Linked DNA regions of Macaca fascicularis. The protein of the gene in region 2 purifies or fractionates together with the protein of the main gene of each other region. This does not show direct contact. Links are inferred from orthologs where the notes say so. Each region holds a gene or a part of one and is shown on either strand. Other genes may lie near its edges. The genes, in order: EZH2 and USP44.

Evidence for each region.
Region 1: the proteins of USP44 (region 2) and EZH2 purify together in Homo sapiens (affinity purification with western blotting; 3 studies listed by BioGRID, with this or other methods). This does not show direct contact. The link is inferred for Macaca fascicularis from reciprocal best matches to the Homo sapiens genes USP44 and EZH2.

What each region holds. Positions count from the first base shown.
Region 1 is NC_088377.1:190,535,495-190,543,557, forward strand, and holds the start of EZH2 (histone-lysine N-methyltransferase EZH2), read right to left. Parts: upstream 4,198-8,063; 5' UTR 3,992-4,197; coding exon 3,921-3,991; intron 3,445-3,920; exon of another isoform or gene 3,312-3,444; intron 3,149-3,311; exon of another isoform or gene 3,013-3,148; intron 1-3,012. UniProt on the Homo sapiens protein: Polycomb group (PcG) protein. Catalytic subunit of the PRC2/EED-EZH2 complex, which methylates 'Lys-9' (H3K9me) and 'Lys-27' (H3K27me) of histone H3, leading to transcriptional repression of the affected target gene.
Region 2 is NC_088385.1:102,568,193-102,575,239, forward strand, and holds part of USP44 (ubiquitin carboxyl-terminal hydrolase 44), read right to left. Parts: intron 6,708-7,047; coding exon 6,599-6,707; intron 3,107-6,598; coding exon 2,901-3,106; intron 306-2,900; coding exon 106-305; 3' UTR 1-105.

The DNA.
Region 1 (8,063 bases), on a different chromosome or scaffold from region 2:
CATGATTTACAGAAAATTTTTCATCTATACTGATATAAAGACTTCAAGGCTAATCCATAAATCATTGCTAATTAACCACAGAATACATTATATTGGAGGATTTGTCCTTGTTGGTTTTTAAAAAGCAGATCAACTTTCTCAATCACTGTTCATGTAAAGGGTAATACTGAAATAAATTCACAATCCTTGAGCACACTACCTCAAAAGCAGGAAGATATTCTGGGAAAATTCCAATAGGACTTGGAGAAATTTGCCTAAAATTTTTAAACGGCCAACATAAAGATATTCACTTATATTTATCTGTGCAAGGCAAAGCTAGGTATCAAAGTATCAGAACTTTTTCTAACTACACTAGATAAACAAGTGTGTTTTTTTTTTTAAGTCACTGCTACTTAAACTGACTAAATACATTCTGAGTTGTACCAGAAAATAATTTAAGATGAATTTTTAAACCAATTTCCCAAAGAGATGTTTTTCAAAATATCTCACGGCAAGTACAAAGAACAGTAATTATCAAATACAGAACACGCAAGGGCAAAGTTAGAAATTTTTATCCTAGGCTGGGCATGGTGGCTCACATCTGGATCAGCACTTTGGGAAGTGGAGGCGCGTAAATCACTTGAGGTCAGGAGTTCGAGATCAGCCTGGCCAATATGGTGAAACCCCGCCTCTGCTAAAAATACAAAAATTAGCCGGGTGTCGTGGTGCGTGCCTGTAGTTCCAGCTACTCGGGTGGTTGAGGCAGGGGAATTCCTTAAACCCAGGAGACAGAGATTGTAGTGAGCCCAGATAGGGCCATTGCACTCCAGCCTGGACGACAGAGCAAGGCTCCGTCTCAAAAAAAAAAAATTATCTTAAAATATCCGATTTTCTGCCAAATATCTGCATAACTAGCTCATCTCATAATGGACAAGATTATTAATAGGATTTTTTAATACAGAATTATTAGTAATTAATATAAACGTTATTTTTTTGTTATAATGTCTCAACACTTAGACCAGCACCTGGAATGCCTGTACAGTGGTGTCAACACTCTCCAAAATATATGTAATAAATTTATACTGCACTTATTTGTCTCCATTTTTAAGAAACCATAAGTTAGTAGATGCACATTAGATCTTTATCACATAGGACAGTGCAACCAGAAGAACGCCTATGTTTTTCTAACTTGTTTTCCTGGAATATACTCACTTTCCACAAAAACGAGAATTTAAGATGCAATGTTCCTGTTTCCGGGAAACCTTAAATATTACATAACCCAACACATCTCCAAAAAGAGAGAACAACATGCTTTATATCTATGACTAGAATCCTACCTATTCCTAACTTTAGAGACCATGAATAGAACATTAAAATATATCTTAAATACTTCTGTTTTCTTGCAAATAAAATTTACAAATAAACAAGTTAGGATTACACACTTGATCCGTATTCTTAAATATGAATTAGTTGCTAATGCTTATGAAGAGTAATAGAAAATAAACTCCAAAACCCCTAAAAGTATTGACTACATTCAACCGTGACTACATTCGTGTTTTTCAAAGGTTTATTAAATGCTGTTTTATGGTGACATCAAAACTCCACAAAATTAAGCTAATAACTTCCTTGAACCCTAAAAAGCAAGCCTTTAAGTAAACATCAAAGATACATTTTTATTTCCAAATGAATTTAAATGTTACAGATACTGTGTGATAAACAAAGGAAGTTTAACTGTGGACAGCACACGTTAAATTTCTTAGGCAACAAACATTTCTGCATCCAGTCTTTTCTGAATCACCAAAGCTATTGTTCACAGAAAACGAGACCAATTACTAAGAAACTGCTAACCATAGAATCTAAACACACATTTGTCATAGCCATTCTATTTTGATCACCTACTTCTACCACCTCATCCTCATTCAACCCGTCGGGATTTGGGAAATAATCTCTGGCTGAATGACAGTTGATTTCGTTAGCACCTGTCGCCATTCTCAGATGTATCACACAAGTTGGCCAAAACAGCTTGTAATGTTTAAGGATTACGATTCTTTAGAAAGTGGGAACTCACTAGGCGTTCACCAAGTTTTCCAAAAGATCGTGCTTCTCGATTCCTCCCGCTTTCAAAAAGTAACCCTGTGGCACAGATTTTTGGGGGCAGTGGAAGGGGATGTACACAATGAAGTGGGAATTCAACAGGAAGCCCTCCAAAAACACAATCAATAGAGAGCAGAACAGCTCGACTCTTCCCTCAAACTTAGCATAAAGCCAGACCAGGCGGCGAGGCAGCCCGCGACCGCCGGAGCTCAGGGGGATTTCGGGGTGCGTCCTGGGGAAACGTCAGAGGCGAAGCTACTCCGAGTTCCACGCCGCGAACGTCGTCCCGCGGTCGCCGCGGCCCCAGCCCGGGGTCAGCGCGCCCGGGATGGGGGCGTGCGCGGGGCTGGGGCCGAGCCCTGCCCACCCCGGCAGCGGCCCGCGCCTCCCCACGCCCCTCTCCCGCCCGCCGGCGGGCCCGGGTGTCATGCCCCTTCCCCTCGCGCCGAGACCTCCGGAGACACAGTCCGTCCTTTGTCTGAGTGCAGACTCGGCGGCTGGGTCCCACCAACTTGTGTCTGTCCCGTCCCACCCGGGCGCTCCCGCCGCGGCCGCGCCACACAAAGGAGACTTGAGGCTCGAGCTGCCACCCTGGACCGGGCACCGGAACGCCCCGACCCCGGCCCCGGCGCCCCGGCCAGGGCAGGCACCGGGAAAGCTGCCCCCCACACGCCCCCCGCCCCGCAGCTCCGGGGGTCCGCGCTGCCCCACTCGTAGGCTCCCGCTGGCCAGCCCTAAGCTCACAGCTCCTTCCGGGGAGGGGGGTCTCCCCTCACCCTCCACCCCCCGCACGCCTACAAACGCGGCGCCCGGGTGAGCCCCGTTTAGGCGATACCCGGGACCGGCACAGCAGCGGCGGGGAGGTCCTGCCGCCGCCGCCGCCGCCCGCTTCGCACTCCTGGAGCCCCACCGGCCGGGCCGCCCGCAGCGGCGCGTTACCTTCGTCCCGCGCGCCGGCTCGCGCTGTTCCCGCGCGTCGCCCCCGCGCGCCGCCGCCGCCGCCGCCGCCGCCGGGGCTCCACTGCCTTCTGTGTCCCACCGGGTGTCGGACGCGACCGGACCGAGCGCCAAACGCGGCAGTCCAATCGCCATCGCTTTTATTTGGCCCCCCCAACCCAATCAAGCACCGCCCCGATTGGCGGGACGCTAGGCGGGCGCCCGTCCAATCACAGGGCCCGCCGGGCTCGGAGGCGCCGAGCCAGCCCCACGCAGAGTGCGCTCAGGGCTCGCGGGCGGGCGGTGGTGGCGCGTGCGCGCGCGGGCGGTGGCGGGGCTCGCTTGAAGCGACGCGACTGGCCTTGTGGAAGCGCTGCCGCCGTCTCTTTGTTCTTTCGCTGAACACACGGCGCCTCTCAGGAAGGCGGTGTGCAGGCAGGCGGGGACCGGGAGACATCGCGGGGGCCCGGAGCCCACCGCGAACGGGAGGCGGGGAGGATGGGTGGCGGGAACGGGCCGAAGGGCGGGACGACGCGCCGGCTGCTCTTGGCGGGAACCGGCGCCGCGGAGTTCCCGGGCGGGGGAGGGGAGGGGAGGGGAGGGGCGAGGCGGGGACTGGAAGCCAAGTTTGAACCAGTTCAAAACTCGGGGGTGGTAACGGTTTTAACCGCCGCGCTCGTTTCCCCGCGCGCGGTGCCGAGGCCCGAGCTGGCCTCTCCTGGCGGTGCCCAGGGAGGGGAGGGCACGGGCCCCGGAGGTCGGCTCTGCTGCGGCGCGGCCTTTGCGGGGAGACGCTCGCCCGGCCCGCGCGCTGCCGCCGGCCCCGTTACTTCTTTTTTTTTTTTTCCCTCTGAGACGGAGTTTCGCTCTTGTTGCCCAGGCTGGAGTGCAATGGCGCGATCTCAACTCACCGCCACCTCCGCCTTCCGTGTTCAAGAGATTCTCCTGCCTCAGCCTCCCGGGTAGCGGGGATTACAAGCATGCGCCACTACGCCCGGCAATTTTGTATTTTTAGTAGAGACGGGGTTTCTCCGTGTTGGTCAGGCTGGTCTCGAACTCCCGACTGCAGGTGATCCGCCCGCCTCGGCCTCCCGAAGTGCTGGGATTACAGGCGTGAGCCACAGCGCCCGGCCCGGGTCCCGTTGATGTTGCCTGCTGCTGCCTCGGCCACTTCCCGCCCCGCCCCCCGCCCCCCGCCTCCACCGCTGGACTTTGGCTGAGCTCGCAGTGCTTATCGCCCTAGAAACCTGTGAAAGGGTGACATTACTGCCATTTCAGACCCTTCCAGTGTTTGTAGTGCCAAGCAAGTGTCAGTGTTAAAAATCGTTTATTAAGATGAGCGCTGTTCACTTGCCGCCTCTGCAAAGTGTAAGGATATTTGCAATATTTTTTAGTGATTAAACAATGATCTTAGTTATGGGGGGGTCAACCTGCCTCAACTCAGGAATTAGGGGGCTTCTGCTTAGGATACAATCTCTCCTATTGCTTCATGTGACAATGCAGTTAAGAGTATCCCGAATTTATTTTTACTAGGATGTACCTATGGGGTAAAATACCATTGTCCTGTAAACTGAGATTCCATATTGATAGTTCAGACTGGACACTGAAAAAAGGCCACCTATGATGTTGGGGTAAAAATCTGAAGAAATCTTTTTAATGATTTTAATAACTAGCTAGAATTTTAATTTTTATTTTTCTTTTTTTTTTTTTTTTTTTTGAGATGGTCTCACACTGTCGCCCAGGCTGGAGTGCAGCAGCGCCATCTCGGCTCACTGCAAGTTCCGCCTCCCGGGTTCACACCATTCTGCCTCAGCCTCCCAGGGTAGCTGGGACCACAGGTGCCCGCCACCACGCCCGGCTAATTTTTTGTGTTTTTAGTAGAGACGGGGTTTCACCATGTTAGCCAGGGTGGTCTCGATTTCCTGACCTTGTGATCCACGCGTCTCAGCCTCCCAAAGTGCTGGGATTACAGGCGTGAGCCACCGCGCCGGGCCATAATTTTTCATCAGGTGATTTAGCCCATAATTTTCCCGCCTTTCCTAAATCACCATTCCATTCCTCACATATATTCTGAACCACGCCAATGTTGGAAAGTATATATGAAGGGAAGCTAAAAGATAAGGAGAAACAAGCAATCATGTGCTCAGATAAAAGCAAAATTATCTTGTGAATCAATGATAAGACTGCAAAAAGTAAGTTATGCAACTGAGATGTGACTGTAAAATAACGTAACGAATTATAGCTGTCATTACTTACAGTCACCAATACATTCATTTTCCAAGATAAAATGCATCTATCTAGGCCAGCAGTTTGCAATTTTTTAAAACCAGCAACTTAAACCTCAGAAATTAACTACTTATCCCTAAGTTGCTTATCAAATTACTGAACTTATCAGTCCTATAATATTAAATAGTAAAACGACATTTTTTAAGAGGAAGATCAATGAAATTAGAGACTACCATAAAGCAAATCAAAGCAGTATATAAATATATGCAACATGGTGTGAAATGTCATATAAATTGTTAGACGTTTAGAATCAAGGGATGGATGGATCAAGATGTTCCAGGCCAGGCTTAGTGGTTCACACCTGTAATCCCAGCACTTTCGGAAGTCAAGGTGGGAAGCTCCAAGACCAGCCTGGGCAACATAGCAAGACCCCATCTCTACAAAAAAACTTTAAAAATAAATGGGTGTGGTGGCACGGAAGTACCTATGGTCCCAACTGCCCCCGAGGCCGAGGGAGGGGACTGCTTGAGCTCAGGATCTCAAGGTTACGGTGAGCTATGATGGCATCACTGCGCTCCAGCCTGAGCAACAGGATGAGACCCTGTCTCTAAAAAAAAAGTGATTGGACAAAATATGATTATTGGCACCAACTGAATGTTAGGAAAAAACAGAAACATGTAAAAAGAACTTTATAGAACGACCATTCCCACCGAGAAGAGTGTGTCGGTTGGACTCTAACCATTAAAGAGCTAGGTGGGATGATATTAAATATATATATAACAGATTTAATGTAATATGAAGGCTAGGGTAAGGGATGCCAGTGGATCACAGTATTTTCTTAATGATATTATCCATTTAAGCAAGGTAGTTTAGGCCACAGTAATGGCAGAAAAGGGATAATTTGAAAATAGTCCAGAAGGATTTCATTTTATGTGGGGTTTGTATGGTGTCTTGCGACTCCTTTCCGTATATGACAAATACAGCAAAGTTAGGAGGGGGAAGAAGTATTTTGCTTTTGCTACAAAAAAAAAAAAAAAAAAGTCTGAAGATGTCTAACCCAGGAAAGCAAGAAAATATACAAGCCCATTGTACAGACCTCTGTGACTATTTCAATGGGAAAAAATATGTTTAATATGTGTAATGAATAGTAAACATATGAGCAAGTGTGTGTGTAAATGCCAGTTACTCAAGGGGTGTAGATGAAGCAGAAAGCCAGGCTAAACGCAAAGGTGGACATGGAGGTTGAGGATCACCAAGCTTTTTCATTTCTGTGTAAAGATTGTTCTGCCTTGTGTGAACAACAAAAATTCAGTATTAAAGTTACAAGATGAAACCAAAAACACTTAAGCCCCAAAGTCAGGAAGTAGCACTACCTTTTTCACTGTTGTAACCCCAGGGCCTAGGTCTCCCGGCACACAGCTGATCCTCAGGGTTGTCCTGGGGGAGCTGGAGAAGATGAAGTGCCACGTTAAGGCTGTTAACATCGCAGAACTTCCCTTTGCATCCCTTGACTTCTCAGAACCTCCCTTTCAACCCCAAAAATGGGATTTACTTTCCACACGTTATTCAGCACTCATTTGTGGAGTGCTTACTCTGAATGATAATTATACCGAACATGAGGTGGTAATAAAAATAAGGCAGGCCGGGCGCGGTGGCTCACGCCTGTAATCCCAGCACTTTGGGAGGCTGAGGCGGGCGGATCACTAGGTCAGGAGATCCAGACCACGGTGAAACCCCGTCTCTACTAAAAATACAAGAAATTAGCCGGGCGCGGTGGCGGGGGCATGTAGTCCCAGCTACTCAGGAGGCTGAGGCAGGAAAATGGCGTGAACCCGGGAGGCGGAGCTTGCAGTGAGCTGAGATCGCGCCGCTGCACTCCAGCCTGGGCAACAGCGCGAGACTCTGTCTCAAAAAAATAAATAAATAAATAAGAAGGCATGGGCGGCTGGGCACAGTGGCTCAGGCCTGTAATCCCAGCACTTTTGGAGGCCGAGGTGGATGGATCACGAGGTCAGGAGATCGAGACCATCCTGGCTAACATGGTGAAACCCCATCTCTACTAAAAATAGAAAAACTTAGCCCGGCGTGGTGGCGGGCGCCTGTAGTCCCAGCTGCTCATGAGGCTGAGGCAGGAAAATGGCGTGAACCCGGGAGGCGGAGCTTGCAGTGAGCCGAGATCGCGCCACTGCACTCCAGCCTGGGCAACAGAGCAGACTCCGTCTCAAAAAAAAAAAAAAAAAAAAAAGGCATGGGAAGAGGGAAGTTTTGGGTGCAAATGCTGTAATTTTAAAACAGCTTGGGGCTGAACGTGAGGTGGTTCACGCGTGTAATCCCAGCACTTTGGGGACTGAGATGGAGGATTACTTGAGTTCACAAGTTCTAGATCAGCCTGAGCAACATAGCGAAGCTTCATCTCTTCCAAAAATACAAAACTTAGCCGGTCATGGTAGCAAGTGCCTATAGTCCCAGCTAGTGTGGAGGCTGAGGTGGGAGGATCGCTTGAGCCTGGGAGGCAGAGGTTGCAGTGAAATGGCACCACTGCACTCCAGCCTTGGAATAAAATAATTTTTTAAAAACCACTTGGTTAGGGAAGCCCTCATTTTGAAGGTGACATATGAAGAAAAACTTAAAGGAGCTGAGGGAGAATTTACTGAGAGAAGACTGTTCTAGGCAGAGAGAAGGGCCAGTCAGTGCCTGGGCCCGCGGCAGAAGCATGGCTGATGTGCTATAGGACGGGAAGGGGAAGAAAAGTAGGAAATGATGTTGAAGAATGTAGGAGGCACAAGCAGATTTTTCAGCTCCTTGTGGACCATAGTTAGGTCTTTATC
Region 2 (7,047 bases):
AAATGTAGTATATACACTGATTCATAAGAAAAGTTTAAAATGGTACATCAGTCTTTTTAAAAGTATATATATAAATCACAGGAAGAAAACCCCATTGTCTTTGGATCAGCTAAGGATTTCATTAGACGAGGTATCAGCATCTTCACTGGGATGTTGGCTCCCGAACAGGAGCTCTGGAGGCAAAAGTTTAGAATGTCCATTCTCAGTAACTCGTTGGGTATAAAACAAGATATAAGCTTGAGCCTTGCATACTTCATCCATAGTGCACATGCTTAGCTTGGAATCATTGCAGTGTACCCAGAACCCTAGAGTGAAGCACAGAAATACACTTATGAAGGGACTTTATAAAATTCTAGTATGAATTGACTGAGAAGCTTTTTCTGAAGGGAAAATAATTTTCTAGCCAATTCATTTTTCTTTAACAAGAAATATAGATTGGGTAGTGTTACCTTGGAATTATCTACCTTTAATCTAGAAGTAGCTTAAGTTTACACAGCATGTGACTGATTAGAGTACCTGACACTATTTATTCCTTGTGTAAATCTACCAGTTAATGCTTTTGCCACTAATCATACAGGATGATCATCCCTAATTCCAAAATCTGGCCGGGCGCAGTGGCTCACGCCTATAATCCCAGTACTTTGGGAGGCTGAGGCAGGTGGATCACCTGAGGCCAGGAGTTAGTTAGAGACCAGTCTGGCCAACATGGTGAAACCCTGTCTCTACTAAAAATACAAAAATTAGCTGGGCGTGGTGGTGCGTGCCTGTACTCCCAGCTACTCAGGAGGCTGAAGCAAGAGTATAGAATGGCTTGAACCTGGGAAGTGGAGGTTGCAGTGAGCAAGGATTGTGCAGCTGCCCTCCAGCCTGGGTGATAGAGAGGCTGTCTCAAAAAAAAAAAATCCAAAACCAAAACTTTTTGTGCCAACGTGATGTCATAAGTAACCCTGAACACATTTTTTTCCACTGTATTAATGTCTTTTTTTTTTTACTGTGAAACTTATGTGCACATAAGTATAATGCACTTATGTACATTACATGCACATAAGTATGCTAATGACTGCTTATCATTAGCATATAAATCAGCCAGGAATTATGCTGATGCCAAACCACCAGACTGTATGAGTGGCTGAGACAGTGACACCTTTGTTTGCTGATTGCTCAATGTACACAAACTTATGAAACTTGCATTTTTTAAAGTGTTGTAGAAAATTATCTTTAGGCAATGTGTACAAGGTGTATATGGGTCCCATCCCTACAATACCTCATAATGTCTATGCAAAAAAATCCAAAATTCAAAACACATATGGTCCCAAGCATTTTAGACAAGGTATACTCAATCTGTATTAAAAAGCAAATTGGGTCGGGCATGGTGGCTCATGCCTGTAATCCCAGCATTTTGGGAGACCAAGGCTGTCAGATCACTTATGGCCAGGAGTTCAAGACCAGCCTGTCCAACATGGTGAAACCCCGTCTCTATTAAAAATATAAAAATTAGCCAGGCGTGGTGGTGCACACCTGCAATCCCAGCTTCTCAGGAGGTTGAGGTTGCAGTGAGCCAAGATCACGCTGCTGCACTCTAGCCGGGGGGAAAGAGTGAGACTCCGTCTCAAAAACAAACAAACAAAAAAAGCCAATAGTGTACAACTAACTTGGTAGTTTTTGGTAGTTCAGTGTGGAGTTACCTTGGTGGATTATCGGGCTTCTTGTCCTCACCTTTTTCTGTTTGGGGTGTGTTGGGTGGGGGTGGGGAGTTGGAAGTTCATTCTTTGTTCAACAGTAAGTATCAAAAGGGAAAGTACGGCTGGGTGTGGTGGCTCCTCTGTAATCCCAGCATTTTGGGAGGCAGAGGCGGGCGGATCACAAGGTCAGGAGTTCAAGACTATCCTGGTTAACACGGTGAAACCCCGTCTCTACTGAAAATACAAAAAATTATCTGGGTGTGGCCGGGTGCGGTGGCTCAAGCCTGTAATCCCAGCACTTTGGGAGGCCGAGACGGGCGGATCACGAGGTCAGGAGATCGAGACCATCCTGGCTAACACGGTGAAACCCCGTCTCTACTAAAATACAAAAAAAATTAGCCAGGCGAGGTGGCGGCGCCTGTAGTCCCAGCTACTCGGGAGGCTGAGGCAGGAGAATGGCATGAACCCGGGAGGCGGGGCTTGCAGTGAGCTGAGATCCGGCCACTGCACTCCAGCCTGGGCAACAGAGCCAGACTCTGTCTCAAAAAAAAAAAAAATTATCCGGGTGTGGTGGCACATGCCTGTAGTCCCAGCTACTAGGGAGGCTGAGGCAGGAGAACTGCTTGAACCTGGGATGCAGAGGTCGCAGTGAGCCAAGATCGCGCCACTGCACTCCAGCCTGGGTGACAGAGCGAGACTTCATCTCAAAAAAAAAAAAAAAAGGCAGGGGATGGGGGAGTAAAAAATGAAATCTCGATCCAATCACTTTTGCTAGAACTAGACTACCCTAGAAGATGGAAAATAAAAGTGAGTTTTGTATGTTAAACTTGAACAGTGCTTGTTCCAAATATCTGTGATCCCCCAGTTCATTAGGTGCCCTATTTCTTTAACAAAATTAACTGAAGTAAACCAGTAAACATACGATCTGCTTTTTGAAGTGTGTCTTTAAGAAAAGTTAACATTCTGACTTTTAGTTGGCAACAAGACTATCCTCATTATTATATTTCTCTAGCCCTTAGTCAAAAGTACCGCAAAACCTACAGAAAATATTTCATGCATCGACTCTCATGTTTTAGTATCTGCAGAGGTATTCTCCCTAAGAAAGTAAGTGGTCAAGTAGTTTTGTTTATGATTTAGTAGTCAATTTAGAAATTGGTTAAAGCCTGAACTCCAGCCTCCAAGTCCAACCCAAGATAAAATACTTTTTCTTATCTATACCTCCTTCAGAATTATAGCAGTAGGCAGTGTAGTGCCCTGAGCCAAATCCTTTCCCATGGTGCATCACCACCGCAGACAAGTCATAGATAAAGCATTCTGGTCTGAGGGATTTCAGGGTCTCCCTGCAGCAATAGGGCTCCATGTTTAAGATTTCCTCAAAGCCAACATGAACACCAATCTTCTCTCGGTTATTACATCCTGACCACCTGTGAACAAACCAGTGTGAAATTATCAACACAATTAAGGGAAAATAACCATGTACTAGGTCTAGACACTTGTAACAGATGACCCCAGGCAGTATGGAATACAAAGTATCATATGTAATATAAAATTATTTCAATGCTGAAGTTGGCTATAAACGGAGAAATTTTGGCTTATTTTGCCTTCTTGTAGTTAGATGACAATGTAGGGAAAAAAAATTAACTTTTGGGCAAGTATTGCCTTATGGGGGCATTTACCCCCTAACAGGTAAAAGTGAAGGCCACAAAAGGGTTGGGGTTTTTTTGTTTTTCGTTGTTTTAGAGATGGAGTCTCGCTCTGTTACACAAGCTGGAGTGCAGTGGCGCGATCTTGGCTTACTGCAGCCTCTGCCTCTCAGGTTCAAGCCATTCTCCTGCTGGGACTGCAGGTGTGCGCCATCACGCCTGGCTAATTTTTGTATTTTTAGTAGAGACAGGACTTCACCATGTTGGCCAGGCTGGTCTTGAACTCCTGACCGCAAGTGATTCGCCTGCCTTGGATTCCAAAGCACTGGGATTACAGGTGTGAGCCACTGTGCCCAGCCCCACCAAAGGGTTTTTAATTCCTTATTGTCTTGCCAGGATATGAAGAGGGTATCCCAGATGGGAGCTACAATCTGGATCTTTCTTGGCCAGGTATGGAGGAAAACAAAGCAGGGCACCTCTAATTCCTCAGAATACTTCAGAGATTTTCAGACTAAAACAACAGGAACTGTGTCCCCTTGCTGTGTGTAAGTCAGCACAACCGCCCACTGGTGACAGAACTGAAAGAACGCCCTTATCCTGTCATTTTCTCAGTCTGTTGCTCATACTTCCCCTTACTGGATCTCAGCATGGCAAGCAATGTGTTTATCAATACGCATAATGAGTTGGTCCTATGAGGGGAAAATAATGTAACGTGGTAGTTCAAGAGATTATAATCCAGTTTGTGGTGGTATGGTACAGAGACAAGGCAGACATAGATAAAAATACAGTAGTAAAGTACTAAAACATGAACTTCAGACAAATAACAGCAGGTAGAGAACAGAGAGACAGGAACACAGTTTTATGATGGAAAAAAAAAATGTGAAAATGCTTAGTCCAGTGTAAAATGGCATGGAACTAAAGATGAACCATGCAAATTATGTTATCTGCTGGACCATAAGTCATATTCCAAACTCTCTGTGTGGTTGTGAAAAATATATTTGGTTTTCCTTCCAGTTTCCTAAGATACATCTCCTAAAATTCTTGGAATCTCTGGAGTGTCTTGGCTGGGTGCGGTGACTCACGCTTGTAATCCCAGCACTTTGGGAGGCTGAGGTGGGTGGATCACCTGAGGTCAGGAGTTCAAGACTAGCCTGGCCAACATGGTGAAACCCCGTCTCTACTAAAAATACAAAAATTAGCCAGGCGTGGTGGTGCATGCCCATAATCCCAGCTACTGGGGAGGCTGAGGCTGGATAATCACTTGAACCCAGGAGGCGGAGGTTGCAGTGAGCTGAGATTGTGCCATTGCACTCCAGCCTGGGCAACAAGAGCTAAACTCTGGCTCACAAAAAAAAAAAAAAAAAAAAAAAAAAAAAAAAAAAAGTGTGTCTTTTGTATGCTAATGAGACAACTAGTGGCTGGCAACCCCTAGATAGCTTCAGCATGTGGGCAAGTCACAGGAAAGACCCGGGAATGACTAGAGGATTGGGACTTTCGGCTTCCTTCCAAATACCGTCCCCAACCCCCAAAGGGAATGGGGCTGAATGATGTAATCAGTCATGCCTATGTACTGAAGCCTCCATAAAAACCCAAAAGGATGGGCTTCTGGAGCTTCCAGATAGCTATCCATGCTGAGGTCCCTGGAGGGCGGCACCCCCAGGGAAGGTGTGGAACCTATACGCCCCTTCCCACAAGTCATGCCCTACACATGACTTCCGTCTGGCTGTTCATATGGATCCTTGAAACTCTCCTTTGTAATAAAAGGGTAAACATGAAGGTTTCCCTGAGTTCTGTGGGGCGCTCTAGCAAATTGATCAAACGAGGGGAGTGTGGCTTGTGAGAATCCCATTAAATGTATAGCCAACAGGTTGGTCAGAATTTCCACAAACCTGGAGTTATGACTGGTGTCAGAAGTGGGGGTCAGTCTGGTGGGACTGAGCTCTCAATCTGTGGGGTCTGATGCTACCTCCAGGTAGACAGGGTTGGAACTGAGCTGAATAAGAGGATACCCAGCTCGCGCTCACTGCAGAGCTGATTACCTGCTTGGTGGGGAGAAATCTCCTACACATTTTGGTAAGCAGAGGTCACATTTGTATTCTCTGTTGTAAGAGTATGGTAGGAGAAACTGAGTTCGGTTTTTCCAATATCTCTCAGCCAGGTGCCGTGGCCCACGCCTGTAATCCCAGCACATTGGGAAGCTGAGGCGGGCAGACTGCCTGAGCTCAGGAGTTCCCAGATTAGCCTGGGCAACATGGCAAAACCCTGTCTCTACCAAAAAAAAAAAAAAAAAAAAAGAAAGAAAGACAATAAACTGATGAAGAACAATAAGATAATATTATACCTAAAATTCCTAATGGTTTGCTTCTGCAGAGGGGAAAGGAACAAGACTGACAGGCACACACAGGGGACATCTACGGTATTAGAAATATTCTGCCAGGTGCGGTGGCTCATGCCTGTAATCTCAACATTTTTCTTCTTCTTTTTTTTTTTTTGAGACAGAGTCTTGCTCTGTCGCTCAGGCTAGAGTGCAACGGCATGATGTTGGCTCACTGCAACCTCTGCCTCCACAGTTCAAGCGATTCTCCTGCCTCAGCCTCCCAAGTAACTGGAATTACAGGCATGCGTCGCCATGCCTGGCTAATTTTTGTATTTTTATTTTTATGTTTATGGATGCATGTATGTACGTATGTATGTTTGAAACGGAGTCTCACTTTGTTGCCCAGGCTGGAGTGCAACGGCACGATATTGGCTCACTGCAACCTCCGTCTCCTAGGTTCAAGAGATTCTCGTGACTCAGCCTCCTAAGCAGCTAGGATTACAGGCATGCGCCACCATGCCCGGCTACATTTTTGTATTTTTAGCAGAGATGGGGTTTCACCATGTTGGCCAGGCTGGTCTTGAACTCCCGACCTCAGGTGATCCACCTGCCTAGGCCTCCCAAAGTGCTGGGATTACAGGCATGAGCCACCTTGCCCAGCCAGCACTTTGGGAGGCCAAGGTGAGTGAATTGCTTGAGCCCAGGAGTTTGAGACCAGCCTGGGCAACATGGTAAAACCCCATCTCCAGCCTGGGTGACAGAGTGAGACTCGGTCTCAAAATAAATAAATAAATAAGCAAATGTAAGTCATTTACTACCCAAGTATATGGTATTAAAAGTTAATTCATTTGTCAGAAAGGTGATTAAAGGGGAAAAAATTATTACATGCATTCTTTAAGTTTTGAAGCATTATAAGCACAAGGAGTGATCACTTTGCAACTGGTCCTGCTACAGACCTGAATCGTTTGAGGTGCAGTCTGAGAACCTGAGGTAGGTGGCATATCATAAGTTGTTTCTGGGCTTCTGTGAGTACAACTGGTTTGGAGGAAAACCTTCTACGCTTTGCTGTAACATCAAAGAAAGAATAAAAATCAAATTTAATTTAAAGATGCAGGGAAAAGCTGAGTGAACCTTCTTTTAATTAAGTCAGAAATGAAAAGTATCTACTGTGTTCTAGGCATTGTGCTGTGCTAGAGATACAGACATGGGTTTTGCCCTCGAGAAACTCATGATCCACAATTAAACAAAAAACTTATGAGCTAGTCAAGTTAGATCTGTAATCAAGCACATGATTTAATAATAATCTTGCATATAATGTAATAGAACAAAGTATGCTGCCATAATATTTTTATTTACTTATTTATTTAGAGATGGAGTCTCACTCTGTTGCCCAGGCTGGAGTGCA